Drosophila melanogaster: one gene and its partners. The protein of the gene in region 2 interacts with the protein of the main gene of each other region in a pairwise test. Each region holds a gene or a part of one and is shown on either strand. Other genes may lie near its edges. The genes, in order: Cpr50Ca, CG13287, Tango11 and Polr1H.

The links.
Region 1: the proteins of CG13287 (region 2) and Cpr50Ca interact in a two-hybrid assay, tested with the Drosophila melanogaster proteins (one large-scale study listed by BioGRID).
Region 3: the proteins of CG13287 (region 2) and Tango11 interact in a two-hybrid assay, tested with the Drosophila melanogaster proteins (one large-scale study listed by BioGRID).
Region 4: the proteins of CG13287 (region 2) and Polr1H interact in a two-hybrid assay, tested with the Drosophila melanogaster proteins (one large-scale study listed by BioGRID).

What each region holds. Positions count from the first base shown.
Region 1 is NT_033778.4:13,768,235-13,772,971, forward strand, and holds the start of Cpr50Ca (cuticular protein 50Ca), read left to right. Parts: upstream 1-1,680; 5' UTR 1,681-1,739; intron 1,740-2,531; 5' UTR 2,532-2,740; coding exon 2,741-2,782; intron 2,783-4,737.
Region 2 is NT_037436.4:5,880,779-5,884,630, forward strand, and holds CG13287 (uncharacterized protein), read left to right. Parts: upstream 1-1,525; 5' UTR 1,526-1,628; coding exon 1,629-3,014; coding exon of another isoform or gene 3,015-3,041; 3' UTR 3,042-3,312; downstream 3,313-3,852.
Region 3 is NT_033778.4:21,716,256-21,721,590, forward strand, and holds Tango11 (transport and golgi organization 11), read right to left. Parts: upstream 3,709-5,335; 5' UTR 3,600-3,708; intron 3,591-3,599; exon of another isoform or gene 3,429-3,590; 5' UTR 3,381-3,428; coding exon 2,826-3,380; intron 2,578-2,825; exon of another isoform or gene 2,480-2,577; coding exon of another isoform or gene 1,676-2,479; exon of another isoform or gene 1,504-1,675; coding exon of another isoform or gene 1,501-1,503; intron 1,442-1,500; coding exon 1,163-1,441; 3' UTR 525-1,162; downstream 1-524. Other genes in the region: CG30398 (uncharacterized protein), read left to right, coding at 1,676-2,479; LBR (lamin B receptor), read left to right, coding at 4,647-5,072. UniProt on the Drosophila melanogaster protein: May play a role in mitochondrial and peroxisomal fission.
Region 4 is NT_033777.3:21,776,650-21,779,640, forward strand, and holds Polr1H (RNA polymerase I subunit H), read right to left. Parts: upstream 1,199-2,991; 5' UTR 1,118-1,198; coding exon 1,000-1,117; intron 949-999; coding exon 729-948; intron 665-728; coding exon 640-664; 3' UTR 565-639; downstream 1-564. Other genes in the region: CG6800 (uncharacterized protein), read left to right, coding at 1-127, 190-340, 393-564; tsl (torso-like), read right to left, coding at 1,703-2,554, 2,903-2,991.

The DNA of each region.
Region 1 (4,737 bases), on a different chromosome or scaffold from region 2:
CGCAATGCAACTTTCTGTGTGAGATTTCCGCCTATTGCAGCTGCAACTGGCGACGCATCTGGTGGCCACATGGGGGTTTCCGGCCGGAGGGAGCGGCTCCTCCAACTTCTGGCGCATCTTCGGTGTCTGAATTTATTACGAGATTGCAAATCTCCACCGCGATTACAGCAATTATGTGGCTTTCGGTAGGAGGTTGGCACATTGCCCGAGGAACGTGCCCAGAGGTGTGGAATTAAGACTCTCGGCGGAAGGGGTAAAGAAAGTGATGTCGAAAGCTCTGGTCATGAAAAAGAAACGATTTTATAAAATTGATAAAAATTATATGTATTCATTAGTAAGCTGGGAATATTACCCCCCCCCCCCCCTTGCTTAAATATTAAGTATACGCCCCTGGTCGCTTACATGGCTCTCCTCTAATAACTCAATTTCAACACCAGCAAAAACAAATGTGAAAGTGCCAAAAGCCGCCTCCCCCCCTCTCTCTCTCACTCTCTTTCCCGTGGTAACCACCAATCATAGCCAAAAATCCCCAATCAGCTCAGCATCTGGCCCAGGTTTCGATGCACTCGAACAGATAGTCCGACCTCGCCACTCTAAGCCGCTTTAAAGTCCCACCATGGGCTGCAATAAAATAATATAAAATGAAATAAAGATAATTTGTCAGCTACTTCATTTGCGGCAGCGCGTGCGTGACTCGCGGTTGCCTGTTGCATAATATCTGCAGTTGAACTTTCCCAGGGGTTAGCACTCTCTTACCCACCAGTCACCACATCACACCAACCAAGGGGTATAAGTTCTATAAATCAAATATAAATATCAATATCAAACTTATAAATATATAAGTTCCTATAAATCACATAATCAGGCTGGGCCAAGCCTTATAGGAAATGCGTGGCAGTGCATTTCACTTGTTGCCATTAATAAATTAATTATACAACCATGACGGCACTGAGCTCAGTTTTATCCCCAGACGCACGCACTCTAAGCCCTCGTAAAAAATAAAGAAAAATGCACACAGATGGTAGGAAAACTTGTACATTTCGTTGTCATCAGCACAGCAACAGCGCATATTGTGCAAATGTTGATGGTCAAAAGTTGGCTAACGCCTTGGCCAAAGCCATGGCCAAAAAAGCAGCTCGAAATGCAGCCAGCTAAAAGACAAATATCAAGTGAGTGGTGAGGTTTTCAATTTTCAAAAGTCGAAAAAGAAATGCTCTGTTTGAAGAATATATATATCAAATATAAAGACAACTTTAATAAACTCTTAATCATTGGAATTTATAAAAAATGTAACAATTAATATAGGTAAAATCATTTTTGGCATCGTAGCACCTGTCTAATTTCCATTTATCCCCACAGATTTGGAATGCAAATGAATTTCCCCGAATAAATTGCAAATTCGACTTCCTTCTGAGCGTTGCAAATTTAATCAGCAGCTTATTATGCCCCACACATAAAAAAATAAAATTCAAAAAAAAAAGAAGGAGGAGAAAAAATATGGAAAATGCAACAGCAATACGCCAGACATGGCCGAGTCTTTTCGGCAAAGGCAAAGGAATGGAAATGGAAAATGGGAAAAGCGAGGCAGCGAAAAGCGAGCCAACAACAAACCGGCTGTCTCCGTGAAAACTGCGCGGCCCCGAACACACACAAAACTCAAGTGGCGCGAAAATTCGAGGCACAGTTGCAACAGCAGCGCGCAAGCGTGCGGTTTTCCTCCACAGTTTTTCCAGCCAAAAGTAAACAAGGCAAAGCGAAACGAAACGAAACGAAAACTCAAATTAAAAGTCGCATTAAATAAATGAGAAACGAACGAGGACTGCGACGAGCAAGTTTAAACAAAGCTCAAAGACAAAGTTGAATGAATATAGTCAAAGTTTGCTTTTCTCCGCAAAGGATATGAGAAAATCATTTTGTAAAAAAAAAAAAAATATAAAGAGCTTGCATTACATTTAACCAAAGTGCTGGCTAACAAGGATATAATATACCTTAAAATAAATTAAATCAAAAAAATATAAACGCATCAAGTTAAACGTCGAGCAAATTAATGAATATTTTACTGAATGACAAAAGTGAAACTTATAAGTGAAACATCTAAGGACGAATAACGAAAACGATTAGTTAGATAGTTAAATTTGTTAAATTAGATTTTATGGTCTTGTTTTATCTCAAAAATCTCTTAGTTACTAATGAAAAAGATTTTGGTAAAGAATATAAGATCAGAAATAATTCTCATTAAACATAATTCATTCATTTGTCATTCATTTGATTTTCTAAGAACAGGAATTTTTGAAATCGCAGGATACTATTTTTCTGCCTTCATAGTTTTAAAAAGTACTCATTTAACACAGCCTTTGCAGATGTGTCATCTGTTAAAGTACCATATAATGATTTTTGTTTTACTAATTTGTTAATTATGATGTTTCATAATTATGGGGAAATGTTTAAAACAGTTAATATGAGAATTTGAAAAGCACTTTTCGCAATTAGCTGCTGTGATAGTTAACCAAACTGAACGAATACTTTTCCAGGTCCGACAAACAAACAATAAGGTTCAACGCTGAACAAACTCATTTACAATTTGTATTTAAAATACCAAGACGGCGAAAAACAGCGTGGGAGAATAACAGAAATTTCAACAACAATTACAAATTGAGCTGCCACTTTTGTGGAAACGCGAAAAGTGCAACGTGCAACTTGACGCCTCATTTGCCCGAACTTCCGCCGACATCCAAGGAAAATGGAAATGGCTATCTGCGGCGGTGGCATCCCCACCTTAATGGTAAGTACATGGGGTCGGTTCGTTTCGGGTCGGGTTCATCATTCTGAAATTTTAATATAAATAACCGACAACTGCAAGGGCCATCGAGGCGTGAAAACAACAAGCGCCAGTGGAGAGACTTCGAGCGAAATTTCTGGGCGTGGGCCTGGGAAAAGTGTCGGCCTTCGATGCAGCGATTTTCATTTTCTGGCCAGGAAATGGACGCGGCCAGTCACTGCATATGGCGGGCTTCTTCTCATTTTCCTGGCGCACGCACATTTCGCAAGCAATTTATTTTCATTGCACTTGAACTTCAATTAGCCCGGAAACCAGCGAATACTGGCCAGACTTCGTTTAATTACCAGGCATTAAAATCATAAAGCGTATTCCAAAGTATCTTTGCTCAAAAATTCGTTATGCAACTGGCATTGATTGTTTGTGCTTTTTGGCCAAAACGCTCTCCATTTTATGACCCCGGTCTTTATGAAGGCCCGCTGTGGTTATCTAACCGAATCGACATTGGAATCCATATCCAACTGCCGGGACGAAAGGAAAATGCACCAGCAGCATTTGCAATCGAAACTGGAAATTTGCAATTTAAGTGGATGGAAAAAAAAAAAAAAAAGTTTGCGACCATTGCTGGCATTTCTTTTCAGCCAAGTTTCCTTGTGGCCCAGGAAGCACTCGTACCCCCAGCACTTTCTAGACCCGTAAAGTCTTTTATGTGCATTGAACTTGACTTTGCCGCCGGTTTTTGGCCAGGGCAAAAAAGACCAAACTGGTTCTAACTGCCACGGCCACTGCAGTTGGTAACTACCCACGTTGCACCACCCACATCTCACTGCCACATTAACAATTAGCCCAAGCTGTGCCTTTTGCCTGCCTGCTACCATTTCTTCTGCTGTCTCGACTCGCTCTCCGTCTTGGTCTTGCTCTTGGTCTGGAACTTAGTCTTGGCCCTGGGTCTTGGCCCACTCCACTCCACACCATACCACTCGTCTGGGTGGCACGTTTTTCCGGCTTGTTGCATACAACAAGAGACGATGCCGTAAGCGCATATTGCAGCCAACAATTAAACAAACTTGTGGCCAAACAGCAATTACAGAAACCATTTAATGAAGCAACCTGCTCGACATGAAAGAAAGCGAACGAGAACAATAAAGTCCAGAGGGAATGTGTTTGTATTGATTGGGTTAAAGACATGGAACTTTAGAGAAAAAATTATAAATAAATAAAAACATACACGAATCCAAAACTTAATCAAATCAAACAAAAGATAGTGATTTAGTTTATATTAACCCAAAACGAATTTCCACAAAATAAATGATTTTTCTAAAACTAATTGAATGCTGATACAAAAAACACCTTCTGTTTGCCCACTGAGATGTTGATTCCCTTGTAACTAAGAAGCCAGAAGATGATCAAAACTAATTGAATTGCTTTTACAAGTTTATCACCTCCATGCCATGCTGACTTTTATTATTGGTTATTTGTCTTGAAAAAATAAACCGAGTACAATAAAAGCCAGTTCAGCACTTTTAAACTGCCAGTACAATAAATACAACTTGTAAACAGCTGTAAAACTCGAAAGCCAAATGGTAAAAACGTAATTTAATCAAACTTTAGCTCTCGCAGCTCTCGCTGCAAATATTACAGTTTCAATTTCCCAAATAATGTCAAAACAAAAGAAAACTTTTAAAACGCCATGCAGATAGTAGTATTAGAAGTAGGAGTAGAAGTTGAAGTAGTAGTTTCGCTCCTTTTGCCTCTCTTAGCGGATCGTAAAGGAATTGTTAACTAGTTTTCGCAGCACTTCTAATGCCATAAAATCCGACTGAGCAAACTGAAACGAACGCAAATAGCAACAATTTTTATCGCTTCTTTGCATTGAGTTTTCAAACGAATCTAGCGCGTGTCCCATCTGAAATGAAAAGACACTTTTTCCGGGCGAAAAAAAAAATAAACGCAGAACCCAA
Region 2 (3,852 bases):
TGTTGGCTATAAATATTAATTAAAAATGCAACTCATATGGCAAGTGGAACAATTAGCACCTGAAAATATGCAAACATTAAATTGCCGCTGCTGCAGCCACATGGCTGCAAGCAAAAAGTGCAACAAAAGAGTCGAAAATTTAAATAAAATATACATACACCCCATAGCTGCAAACCCTGTTCACGACTGACCATAACAGACACATATTTTGTCCTGGCAATGGCCACATCCTTGCATCCGGTCTGCCAGGATCTAGGGTCTAGCCGGAAAAAAGGGAAATAAACGGGGGATCAGAACGAGACGGAAAACGAACGGAAGGCATTGCACAATTTGCTATTGTTGCATGTGCATATTTACTGGGCACTTGCCACTTTTTCCACATAGCGCTAACTTAACTGACAAATAAATATTTCGGTATGTTGAAAGATTTCGACGCTCAACAGTCGCCTACAAAACGGGGGAACCCCAATTCCAGAGCGTGTGTGTGTGTGTGTGTGTGTGTAGTTGGCAATATGTAAAAGCTACGCGCAGCATATACTCAAAATCCAAGCCAGCAGCAACAAACGCAACAAATACACCAGCACAAAACATGGCCACATATTCACACAATCTCGCTGGAACTGCTAAAAAATCGACAAAAACAACCTGTTCGGAAACACTTGCAACAAGGACATCACCACCGACAGAGACGGGCATAGAGCCAGACAGAGAGGGCAGGTCCTGCCATATTTTCGGGGTGGGTGTGAGAGGCAAATCGAGAGAGAGAGCAAGCGAGAGAGCGGCCAGGATCAAGCACCGCCTCCTTGCGAAAAGAGATGAGTGCACAGTGGGCGGAACAGGGAAAATAATTTAGTAAAATATAATGTTTTGGTAAAAATCTAAATGGAAACCATGCGAAAAAGTTTTATTTATTGTAAAATATTTGAAAACATTTACCTAATGAAGTTTAAGCGCAACTACTTCAAGATATTCAACTCTTTTGAATGAATAAGAGTAACTTCTCATATAGATGACCCTAGTTTCAAATCCTTCTAAGTTTAATCAATTAAGTTTTTTAAATAATATCACACAACTTTAACAACAACATTGCCCATTGTACCAATGCATCACATACAGCACAACAAGGTTTTCGAACAAGCCAACCTGTCCGTGAATGCTAGCCAACCAGGAGTCGTCCTGGCTAGGACTCGCACAATAAAACCACAGAATATGTTCGCCAACTGGCAAAGCAGATGGAACGCTGGAGAGACGGAGAGTGGGCCAAAGAAAGAGAGAGAAGACCGCTGGAGAAAGAGAGGACAAGCGGGAGTGAAAGAGCAAGAGCAGGAACATAAGGGTGGTGCTCTCTGCAGGACCTGAATCTGAACAGACTCCGAGCAGAATCAGGACAGATGGGCCAAGTGCCGCGAGTGCGGAGAGTTGCTTTTTCCCAATTGAATGGGACAATATGAGAATACGAGAATTCCAACTGGACGCGGTGGTTGTGGCAGCGGGTACTTAAAGAGGAACAGATTGCGGGCGGCCAGCAGTCGAAACTGGAATTTCGAATCGCAAGGAACTGTATAGAACCAAAGACCCAAAGTCCCTACCAGAGCCAAGTGAAAGTCGAAAAGTGTATTGAAGTGAAAATGAATCTGCTCATGGATAGCATGCCGTCGCACGCGAATCCTGGCCAGCGTCGCCCAACGCCGCCTCAGCACGCCGAGCTTAGGATCTCCACATCACCGCAACAGTCACCGCAGCAAAATCAAACCACTAATCACAATAACAACAATGAGACACCCACATCGCCACCGGGTGGAAAGACCACTCTTAAACGCGCCTTCGATGTGGCCTTCCTCATGATGCCCGATGAACGGATTAAGCAAAAGCAGGCCGAGAAGCAGGCTCGCCTTCAAGAGGCACTGCACCATCATCACCACCAACAGCAGCAGCAGCAGATGAGCCACTATCCCACAGATTTGTCTCCTCGAGGAACCTCCTCGCAACCACCTTCGCCGGCGGCACTGGAGTACATTAGTCTGTTGGAGGCACGCCAGCGGTATCCACAGATCAGCATCCGTTCGCCGCGGGTTTATGATGATCCCAGTGTGGTCATACCCCTGGTGGATTCTCCAGAGGCACCATCAACTTCTTCACCACCACCGCCCATGCGCAGCGCTTTTACCAAAGTAGCCTCCTCGTCGCTGTCCACTTCATCATCCTCACCATCGACCACTTCACGTTTGGAATCACCCGTGGATGCGGGAGCTCCGCCCTTGAGTCCCGATCAGCTAAGCTGTCACTCGATAAGTCCACCATTGGTGACACCTCCACCAAGAACCAATAGCGGTGGCCAGAATCCAAATCCCCTGCCAGCAAATCCCATAGTCTACCACAACTTCCGACCGGAGTATCAGTTCAACGGAGCCTTCCAGGCGGTGAATCCCATGCAGGCTCTGCAGGCACAGCAGCGCCTTAAGCAGCAGTTGTTGTACACCCGTCCACCAGGACCTGGAAATCCCAATGGAGGAGGACCTACTATGCAGGCAAACTCACCACCGGGTCCACCGTCGGAGTTCCTGCATGCCTATCCCGGATTTGCTCCGCCACCACATCCATTCGCGGTATCCCAACCTCTCCAGAATCCCGCTGCAGCAGCCATTCTCTCCACGTTGATTCCACCCACATTGGCATCCACTTTTACACTGACCGCTCAGAATGTGTGCGCCAAGTGCAACATAAGTTTCCGGATGACCAGTGATCTGGTGTATCACATGCGATCCCATCACAAAAGCGAAGTGGCCTGCGATCCAAATCGACGGAAGCGGGAGGAGAAACTCCGATGTCCCGTCTGCCAGGAGACTTTCAGGGAGCGACACCATCTAACGCGACACATGACCGCCCACCAGGACAAGGCCAGTGATCACCAGCCGCAGCTGGAGGACTCATCCTCATCTGCCGGTGACAACGAGATCATCAACGTGGTCGGCGGCACACCGCCAGGTCGCCGAATGGGTGGTATGCCCAAATGATCGAAGCATTTCTTCGGATATTTTTAAGTCATCAAGTCAACTAACTCCCCAAAAACAAAACCCGTTGCCCATTTTCGATTGTGATATTAACTTTAGTTTCCCCCACGCTCCGATTTAATTTCCCCTTAGCTTTAAATGTAGTGCAATTTGTATCTTAAATATGTAACTGGATCTCCCTGTATCTCAATTAATTATCTTTCTTATCGAAGGACCCGAAAGGATCTTCAGTTTCATCATTGTAAGATATTATGGCTAAGTTGCAAATTCAATGTGTGGCTGAATGTTTCAATAAAAATCTAATTGTTATGCCAATTCAATAGTAATCACGTTTTATTAATAAAATTTGGGTTAATGGGAAATTTTATCTTGTAGTAGATCTGAAGTATTCTAAAATCATGTTATGAAAATGAGCTTGAGGATTATTGCAATCAAATATTTTTGAAAAGCTTAAACAAAAGCCAATGAGTTGTCTATGCTTTCGAAATAATGTGATTAAGCTTATATAGACGCCACCTTAATAAGAAATCCCAAAAGACAACCGAGCTTAAAATTCAATTAATTTTTGAAAAAAAGAATCCCAAACCAGGGATTCTAGAAGACGAAGATATCTTGATTTGGCAGCATATGGAGTTCTTTGAATTCCTGGCCGGACAACCCATTATTTCGATTGTGAGGTAGACCGAAAACATAGGCTCCCAGGACCAGAAAAAGCACCAGATTTTCGCGGGTACCAAAAGTAACATACGCCATGTTAGTAGAGCGAAGAATATGTTCAACTTATTAGCGCAGTGAGGCAGTGAATTCTGTAGTTGCGATTCAGCAGTATTCATTTTGGCCG
Region 3 (5,335 bases), on a different chromosome or scaffold from region 2:
TTTTTTTCGATCCTGCGGCGTTTCGCCTGGAAAGGCGAGTCGTTCGGAAAATGAAAGAGAAAAGTAGTCCCCTTGCATATTATTTGTGTAAAGTAAACGATAATTCCATTATAAATAAAAAGATACAAACAATTGCATCTTGTTCTCTAAGTAGTTGGATGATAGCGATTGATCGAAGATCGGGTGGCAAAAGGGAAAGAAACAATCCACTTCACAGACAAAATACACGAAAAACAATACACACACCGCAAATGAATCGAACGAAATTTCGCTCAGGTCTTTTCGTCATTTTGCATTAAACTTAATGTTTAACGTCTTGTTAGCTAAAGATGTATAGCAGAAGAGGAAGTCGGAAGTTAGATGAGACAAGCAGATGTAATTGCATTTAATCGGTAGTTTTAATTGATTACTATACGTACTATTTAAAGAGAAAACCAACAAATTAAAATAAATACATTTTTTAAATGCGTTGAAAACCGAAATCTACTTATTTCCTGGTAGAAAATTAACGAAGCATATGGTTTGTTTTGGTACTTTAAACGTTTTATTTTAAATATCGTTATGAATTCATGCTACACTCTAAATGGATTTCCTTCGTTTCCGCTAGTTATGCAAAAATCAATGCAATGATTTCTGTGGGATTTAGTGTATAATATTATATTTATGTATATATTTAACTATTTATCGTATGGGATTTCGCATACAAATACCATTAAAGTTCTTGTTTTCACTTTGGGATTATCAAATGTTAACAGATCTAAAATATAAACAACCCTTTTAAACAATATCTTTTCAATGCAATGCTGCTGTGATGATTCGGATTCGTGTTGGGGGCTGCTCAGATGAAACACGTAGAGATTAAAGCTTAGATTTAGATACACGCTCCTTAAGTGCCAGATCTTACAAATTAAGTATGGGGGCCTTTGTTTTTTTCGTTTTCCACGGTGTACAAAACAGAACGATGTTGCGCTTATTTATTACGGAGCTTAGTCTACAAAATTATGGCAAACAAAAAACAAAGTCTCTCTCAGAGCCTTTCCACAAAAGAAACACAAAAGTCAAGAAACGAAAGAAGCTGTTCCAAAAAGGGTGTCCATAGCAAGGTGGTTGTCTTGGCACCCAGCGCAGATCGCTAACCATCATAGTGGGCTCTACATTGCGTCTAGTTGCGATTCAGCCAGAATATTGTCTTGAGAACGAAGTAGGCCAGGCCCAGACAGTAGACGATCTTCTCCCGCTGCGTGCGCTGTTCATTGTTGATCTCGATGTTCAGCACCCGGCGATTCAGCTTGGCCAGCTGGCGTCTCAGATACAGGATCTCCTCGTGGGGCGTCAGCTCGCCCATGGGCGTGCCCTCTCGGTGCGCCAGCATTGAGGCATCCAGGTTGTTGTGCTGCTGTTGATTCAGCTGCGAGCGCTTGCTGGCACTGCCTGTGGTCAACTGGAACACATAAGGTAGTCAAAGATAAGTTGCGCCAAATAGGATTTAGATGTGTGTACCATGTTAAGTGTTTGCTTTGTGAAAGTTTTCTGTTATCAATGTGAAGCAAGAGTCATTTTTCAGAGCTCCCCCAAATATTTCCGGTGTCAATATAAGCAATAAACATTCGAAAAAAAAAAAAACGCCCAACTCGAAATTTTCTGTATAGCCAACCAATTTCTTTCGATCCCAGCAATGACAACCAGTCCCAACGTAGCAGAAGTGGATGATGGCGAGCTGCCGAAACTGGAGGCGATAATCAGCGCGCTGAAATGCGAGCAGACGGGTCACATTATGGAGGCGATACTACTCTACGAGGAGAGCATCTTCAAATTGTCCCAGATGGCCGATGCGGAGCCGAGTCGCCGCCAGCTGTGTGGGAAGTATTTGAAGATGTACGAGGCGCGGGCCAAACAGCTGAGGGATCAGGTCAAGGGTCACTTGCACACCAGCCGTATGCTGGATCACATCACCATCGAGCAGGGTGCCAGGGGCAGAAGCTACCAGCGGCTGTTTGGTCCGTATTTGGACGATGCGGTTCGGGAGGCCCATCTCAACGAGCCACACCTCACGGAGCCACCACACTTTAGGAATTTGCTTAACTTTTTCGAGGTGCTGGTCAAGAACTGTCGCTATCTAAAGTATATTCGCCTCACTACGCGCCCAGATGCGACGGCGCCCAAGAATCAGTTGCAGATGCTGCAGCAAATGCAGAGCGATCTGGCCGGTGGCAACATCCAGATGAATTTCCAGATGGACGACAGTTTGCACGATCGCAAGATCGTTCTTAGCTCGGGAGTGGTCATTAAGATTGGCCGTGGCCTTCACTACTTCGAGCCCATGGAGGGTTCGTACAGTTTGGGTCTGTGCGATTTCGATTTTCGCAAGTGCCTGGCCACCGAGGTGGACATCTGGAAGTGTCGTCCTTTTGCGAGGCGCCTTAAGGATACACAGGAGGGCGAGGATCGACCGGAGGCACACGGCTACTCCAGCGATTAACAAAAAGTGAGAGTGTGTTTCCACACAGTCGATGGAAATTGGGTCAGCCGTCTTATCAAAGCCGTATTAGGAATTCAATAAAAACCAGCAGGCATGGTAATCTCTTTGCAAACTGAATGGGTGGCAAGCGCAGTGTGATCGCTATCTATCTATTATCTATTAACAATTTTGGTTGTTTTATTGCGTCATGTGTGGATCGCTAGGGTCTAGACTTCCATCAAATGAAGTGCTCTTTAACAGAAATCACAGAGTTGCTCATTCTGCCCATCGATTTAATTTACAAGCACTTGCAATTGAATTGAAAAACTAAAGGAAAATTGTTGCTTGTATGGCATATTTTACTCACCTGCGAGTCCGATTCAACGGAATTGGTGTCATTGCCTTGAAATCCCATACGGGCGACTCCATTGGCACGCACATATTGGGTGGCATGGACCTCCTCATCGTCGGCGTCCTCGTCGAGATCATTACCATACAAATGATGACCATTGGCCCGGATGGGCGAGCTCTCCTCGGAGGCCGAGGGAAAGTGTTGATCGGTGAGGGTGATAATGCGCGGTGGCGTCTGGACGCGCACCAATCCGACCGATGGGTTCTTGGGCAGAATGGAGTTCTCCAGCTGGATTTCCCGCGGAGCAGATCGCGTCTCCAGATGCTGATTGTGGCCCAGGACCACAATTCGATCCGGTACATTCATGTCGATCTTGTCGTGATAGTTCCAGGAGCTGATCATCCCGTTCTGGTTGGACAGCAGCAGATCCTCGTTGGAATACTCCCCGGTGGCCTTTATTCTTTTGGGAACCCGCATCTTGTCGTTAATCTCGTGGGCATATTTGGCGTCGCTGTAGAGATCATCGTCCAATCCATTGAACATGGGCGTCGGCGATTGCGGGGTCACCATGGCGATGTCCTGGGGAATCCTTTCAACTGATCCAATGGGCCTCACTTGCTTTTGGTTTTTCGTTGTTTGTCCAATTTTTTTTTTTTAGGTAGAAGGCGGCCGTGAGAGAGACGTTTTCATAACAAATTAATAACCAGAATTTGGCAAGCGCAACATTTTCGTCCGGCTTGTGTGCGTGTGTTTGTTGCGTATTGGGTTTTTCGAATGCTTTCTACTTACATTGCTCGGGAAATGACAGAAAAATGTCCGAGAAATCCGTAATAATTTACAATTTTTCTCCTGCCTTTTGTTATGTGTGTGAGGAGATTGATATAGAATGTGCTAAATAATACCAGGAATGACAGTCACTCTACTTCCACTCTACAGATCCGGCACTCTAGCTCCTTTTTAGCCAAATTAATTATCTACCTCAATATCAGTAGAAAACTAGGTATTTAAGAAGTTATTTCAGTTGTTTTGATTCATTTTATTAATATGTTTTTGTTTCTTGAAAAGTTTGCGGTATTCTTCTGTCTTGAACAAATAATTTACAACTCGATTTAAGCGACAACTTTGGTCTTTATAACCTACATATGTAAATAAAATGAGTACTGTTAGTCTTTGCAAAGATCAAATACTCCAAAAAGTTTTCTATCGATTTATAATACTTGCGCATTGGTATGGTTCGATTAATGTTTAAGGGAATGTAAAAATAAGTACAAGTACTTTTAATACTTTAAAATAATTAACCTTGAATACATTTTAAATTGTCTTAAAGTGCCCACTAAACCACTGTTAACGACACGCTGCGTGCTGTTAGGCGCCGTTCGGCGTTAGCCAACACTGAAAAATACCAACGCAGTGGGCCGCGCTCATTTTACAACAAAATTTTCTCATCCGCCGACAACTAGACGCGCGTCTTTTTTATCAAGTGATTTATGCTGAATTTACGGCGTTTCAATAGCCCCATAAAGTGAAAAACTACAAATAAATCCCATCAGAAGTGAGTTACTAAGTTGTGAAGCGTTAAAAGCTGTTTAAGCTAAGTTAAACATCGTTTAAAAACTGCCAGCCAAGAGGAAGAGAGCAAGAGAGAGAGCGCGTTCTGCCAGCGTCGCTGCCTGCGGAATGTACAGTTGCGGCAGCGACGTCGCTTTTCCTTTCGGCGCGCAAACACAAATAAATACAGAAAATTAGAGAAATAAAGAAAGCAAAGAAACTAGAGAAAACCACAGCGTTACTTAAGTACATTAATAGATTGTGTGTATTTTGTAAACTATAAATAACATGCAGCACTCGCCGAGCACAACGACTGATCATATCCATTTTGCAGCACGTTTTTTCGACCGCAATTCATACACCATGGATCGACGCCTGAGACGCCCGCGTCGCACGGAAGACGTGTCCAGCGGTCCACTTCTGGCCCAGTCCAAGCAGCCCAGCCTCCTGCCGGTGACCCGACGTACGGGCTCCGTGACAGCTGCGGGTGCCACCGCCACCGCCACCGCCACCGCTGGTCCCGCCACCCGGACACGTGCCTCCCCGTCACGCAACAAGGTCGTCGCACCGCCCTCGCCCGATCTTGGCCCGCGCACCCGTCGCTCCAGCCGGCCGAGGTCGTCGGTGGGTCCGCTGACCGGATCGGGATCTGGTTCCTCGCTGCCCATCAAGGCCGCCATCAAGGCACGCACACCCATCCCAGAGGTTTCCGAGGTGAGTTCTCCAGCACAAACCAGTTTTGCTGGCCGGTGGATAAGTGCTTAGCTATATTTGATCAGTATTCCAACCATCAGCAGTTTAGAATTTTGAAATCAATTGCTTTCAATATAAAAGCATAGCGAAATATTAGTTCTATTTAATTTCGATCGTTACAACCAATTAAACTACATAATTAACTGTAACTGTCCTACCTTTATTACAAATTTCGAGCTTCTGTTTCTGTGTGTTTTATGAAGCTGATAAGCAGCACCCACCGC
Region 4 (2,991 bases), on a different chromosome or scaffold from region 2:
CGTCTGTACTTCCCTGAAGACGAGTCGCGCCTTTATTCGCCTCAGGTCTCAACCCGGTGGTATCGAGCGCCAGAGATTCTATTTGGCAGCCAGAAGTATGGAACCGGAGTGGATATGTGGGCGGCAGGTTAGCCATGACTCTTTGATGGGTTTACATATATCCTTATGGCTGACATTATTGCTATCCAGGTTGTGTTGTGGCGGAGATGCTACGCGGAGTGCCCCTGTTTGCGGGAACCACCGACATCGAGCAATTAGCCATCATCATTCGCACTCTGGGCAGCCCACGTCTGAATCAGTGGCCAGAGCTGACTTCTCTGCCGGATTACAGCAAGATACGGTAGGCATTCTTACCGTCTATGATTACTTAATCCGTAATATTCTTGACGTAGGTTTCCCAACTCCGTGGGCATTCACTGGGACAACTTGTTTCCCAGCTGCACACATGCGGTGGAAATCAATCTGGTCTCGAATCTGGTGGTCTACAATCCCAAAAACCGACTCAAGGCCAGCGAGGTGGGTTCTGCTTCAAGTTTGACACCGGTTAGGTATTATAATTGGTAAATTCTATATTTCTCAGGCCGTCGAGCATGATTATTTTCATTAATCTAGGACTATTTACACGGACATTGCTAGCAACTAAGAGTTTTCGGATTCTTTGAATCTGCAAGGTAGAATGTGTGTGATTAGTTGTGGAAGTGAAGGAATATGTTTATCAGGACACCTACTTGCACTTAAGGCAGGTAAAGAACACCGTCTGGCCTTCGTCCGCCGATCGAAGCTGCAGGGTGGCATAGGACATCTTGTCGTGGTTGCACTTGGGACACTTCCTCTCCACAACGGGGCCATCCGCGTCCGATTCCGACTCCCTTTTCGTCCTGTTGAACACCTTGCTGGGATCGTAGGTGTTGAAGTGTATGGTAAACTCGGACTTCTCGCCGCTGTAAACTATTTTTAAGTGTTAAATAAATTAAACAAAGTTGTAATTTCTGGATTTACCATCTGGCTGAAACTCCTTCTTGCAGTTGTAGCAAATCACATTGCCCTTGACTTGAAGCTCGGGCAGAATGGAGCCGCAGGAGGGGCAAAAGCCCGGACAATTGGAAAAAATATCCATGCCAGTATATATCACCCAAAATCAAAATCAAAATACAAAAACCGCACGTGCTATTTCGGATTTCAGTATGAGCGTAACTGAACCGTTTGAAATATACCACACGGTATTAAAAATATACTTGATTCATATACTAAATACGTAAGGGTGGAAAACTAGAATAAGTCTGGTTGAAAGCCTTGATGAAACGGGTAGAGCCGTTTACCCGTTTCGATTACCGGTTCTTAATCAAAATCAATTATTCAAAATAAACTTTCAAAATAGTATTTGATATTCATAGCCAATATTACGTAATGAAAACAGTTAGATTTTAATAGCCAATATCAAGTTATGAAAACAGTAAGATTTTTACTTTTATCTTTACTTTGTATTAAAGTTTACAAAACTATTACATCAATAAGGCGATCTTACGGTCTAGTTAGCTGAAATGCAAGTCGGATGTGTACTGTGTTCCAATTAAACTACCTAAAACTATCACAGGCAGAACATTAACTACGCACTAGAGGTTCCTAACTACAACTAAGCATCTAGGAACTATTGATCCTTGGCTGCCACATATCGCACAGTATATATATATTTAAAATGCAGCTATCGGGTGGGATGACTCTGCGGCATGTTAAGCTCCCAGAGCTTCACATTGTTGTCGAGAACCTCGTGGTACCAGCTCTCCTTTTCCGGCTCCTCCCGGAAGATGGGCTTCAGCGACTTGAGGTCCAACTGCAGTATGGCATCGTTGCCGAGCAGCGAGTCCAGGGATCGCAGTAGAGTACTATTACCGTGCAGTTTCAGCAGGGTCACATACTTGACCACATAGTACTCGTACTGCAGCTTCCTTCTCGCCCATCTTTCCACTGTAGCATTGGCACTAGCCGATCGAATCTGGCCCAGATGGGCGGCAAACCAGGGCGCAAAGTAGTTGTAAAGATCCAACTTGGACAGTCCGTTCAGACCTTTACTCTTGATTCGCTCCTTGATCATGCTGTAGTTCTTCCTGCTGTACACAAACACCTGATACAGCGAATTGCCGGTGGTGTATGAGTTTACGTAGTGGGTGCCCACATCTTCCATAAATCGCACTGCGGAAGTTATATTTCCGATTTGCAGTTGATCCATTCTCGATCGCACATCCGGCTCCAAGGGTTGGTGCACCGGAATCTCAGCGTTAAGACGCCCCGTTTCCCTGAAGCGCACCACCCTCACCAAAACATACGAGTAATCGCCTTGGATGAAAGATGTATTGATGCCCAGCTTCTTGGCCGCATTATCCGGAAACCATCCGCCAGTAAATGCCTCCCACGGTTTGTCCATTCGCTCAATGGAAAAGTCACGGAAGTAGGCCTGGAACAGTTGCCTCCGATTCTCGCAGAACTCCATGTGAAAGTCTCCATGAAAGATTCCGGGCGTGGTGTCTTCATGACTCTCCGCCAGGCCACTCAGATTCTGAAAGAAAAAAATCATTAATTATCTAATTGTCTAGTCAGCTCAATTATCAGGTAATAAATATCAAGTGACATACTTGAATAATCGTATATAATGATCGTTTTCCTAAATCTGATCAAACAAATATAATAAGCGCTCATTCTAACGACAAACGTGGCGGAAGTGAACAATATAATTACAACTAAAAATAGTTTTAAGTGATAACAACTTTAAACCCTATTTTAAAATTTTGATTATACTCCAAATAATTATGGTGATTGTGGTTAAAGGTTAATACAAACAATTCCGAGTTCATCAACGCCATTTAATTTATTAAATGTAAGCTTAACTCTGCCTTAAGTCCCTTACCCTATAGATGTTTTTGGTGGGCTCCTTAAACACCCAGCGATCCGGCTCCGAGTTGTCATTGAGCGGTATCACACGCATGGAGATTCCCA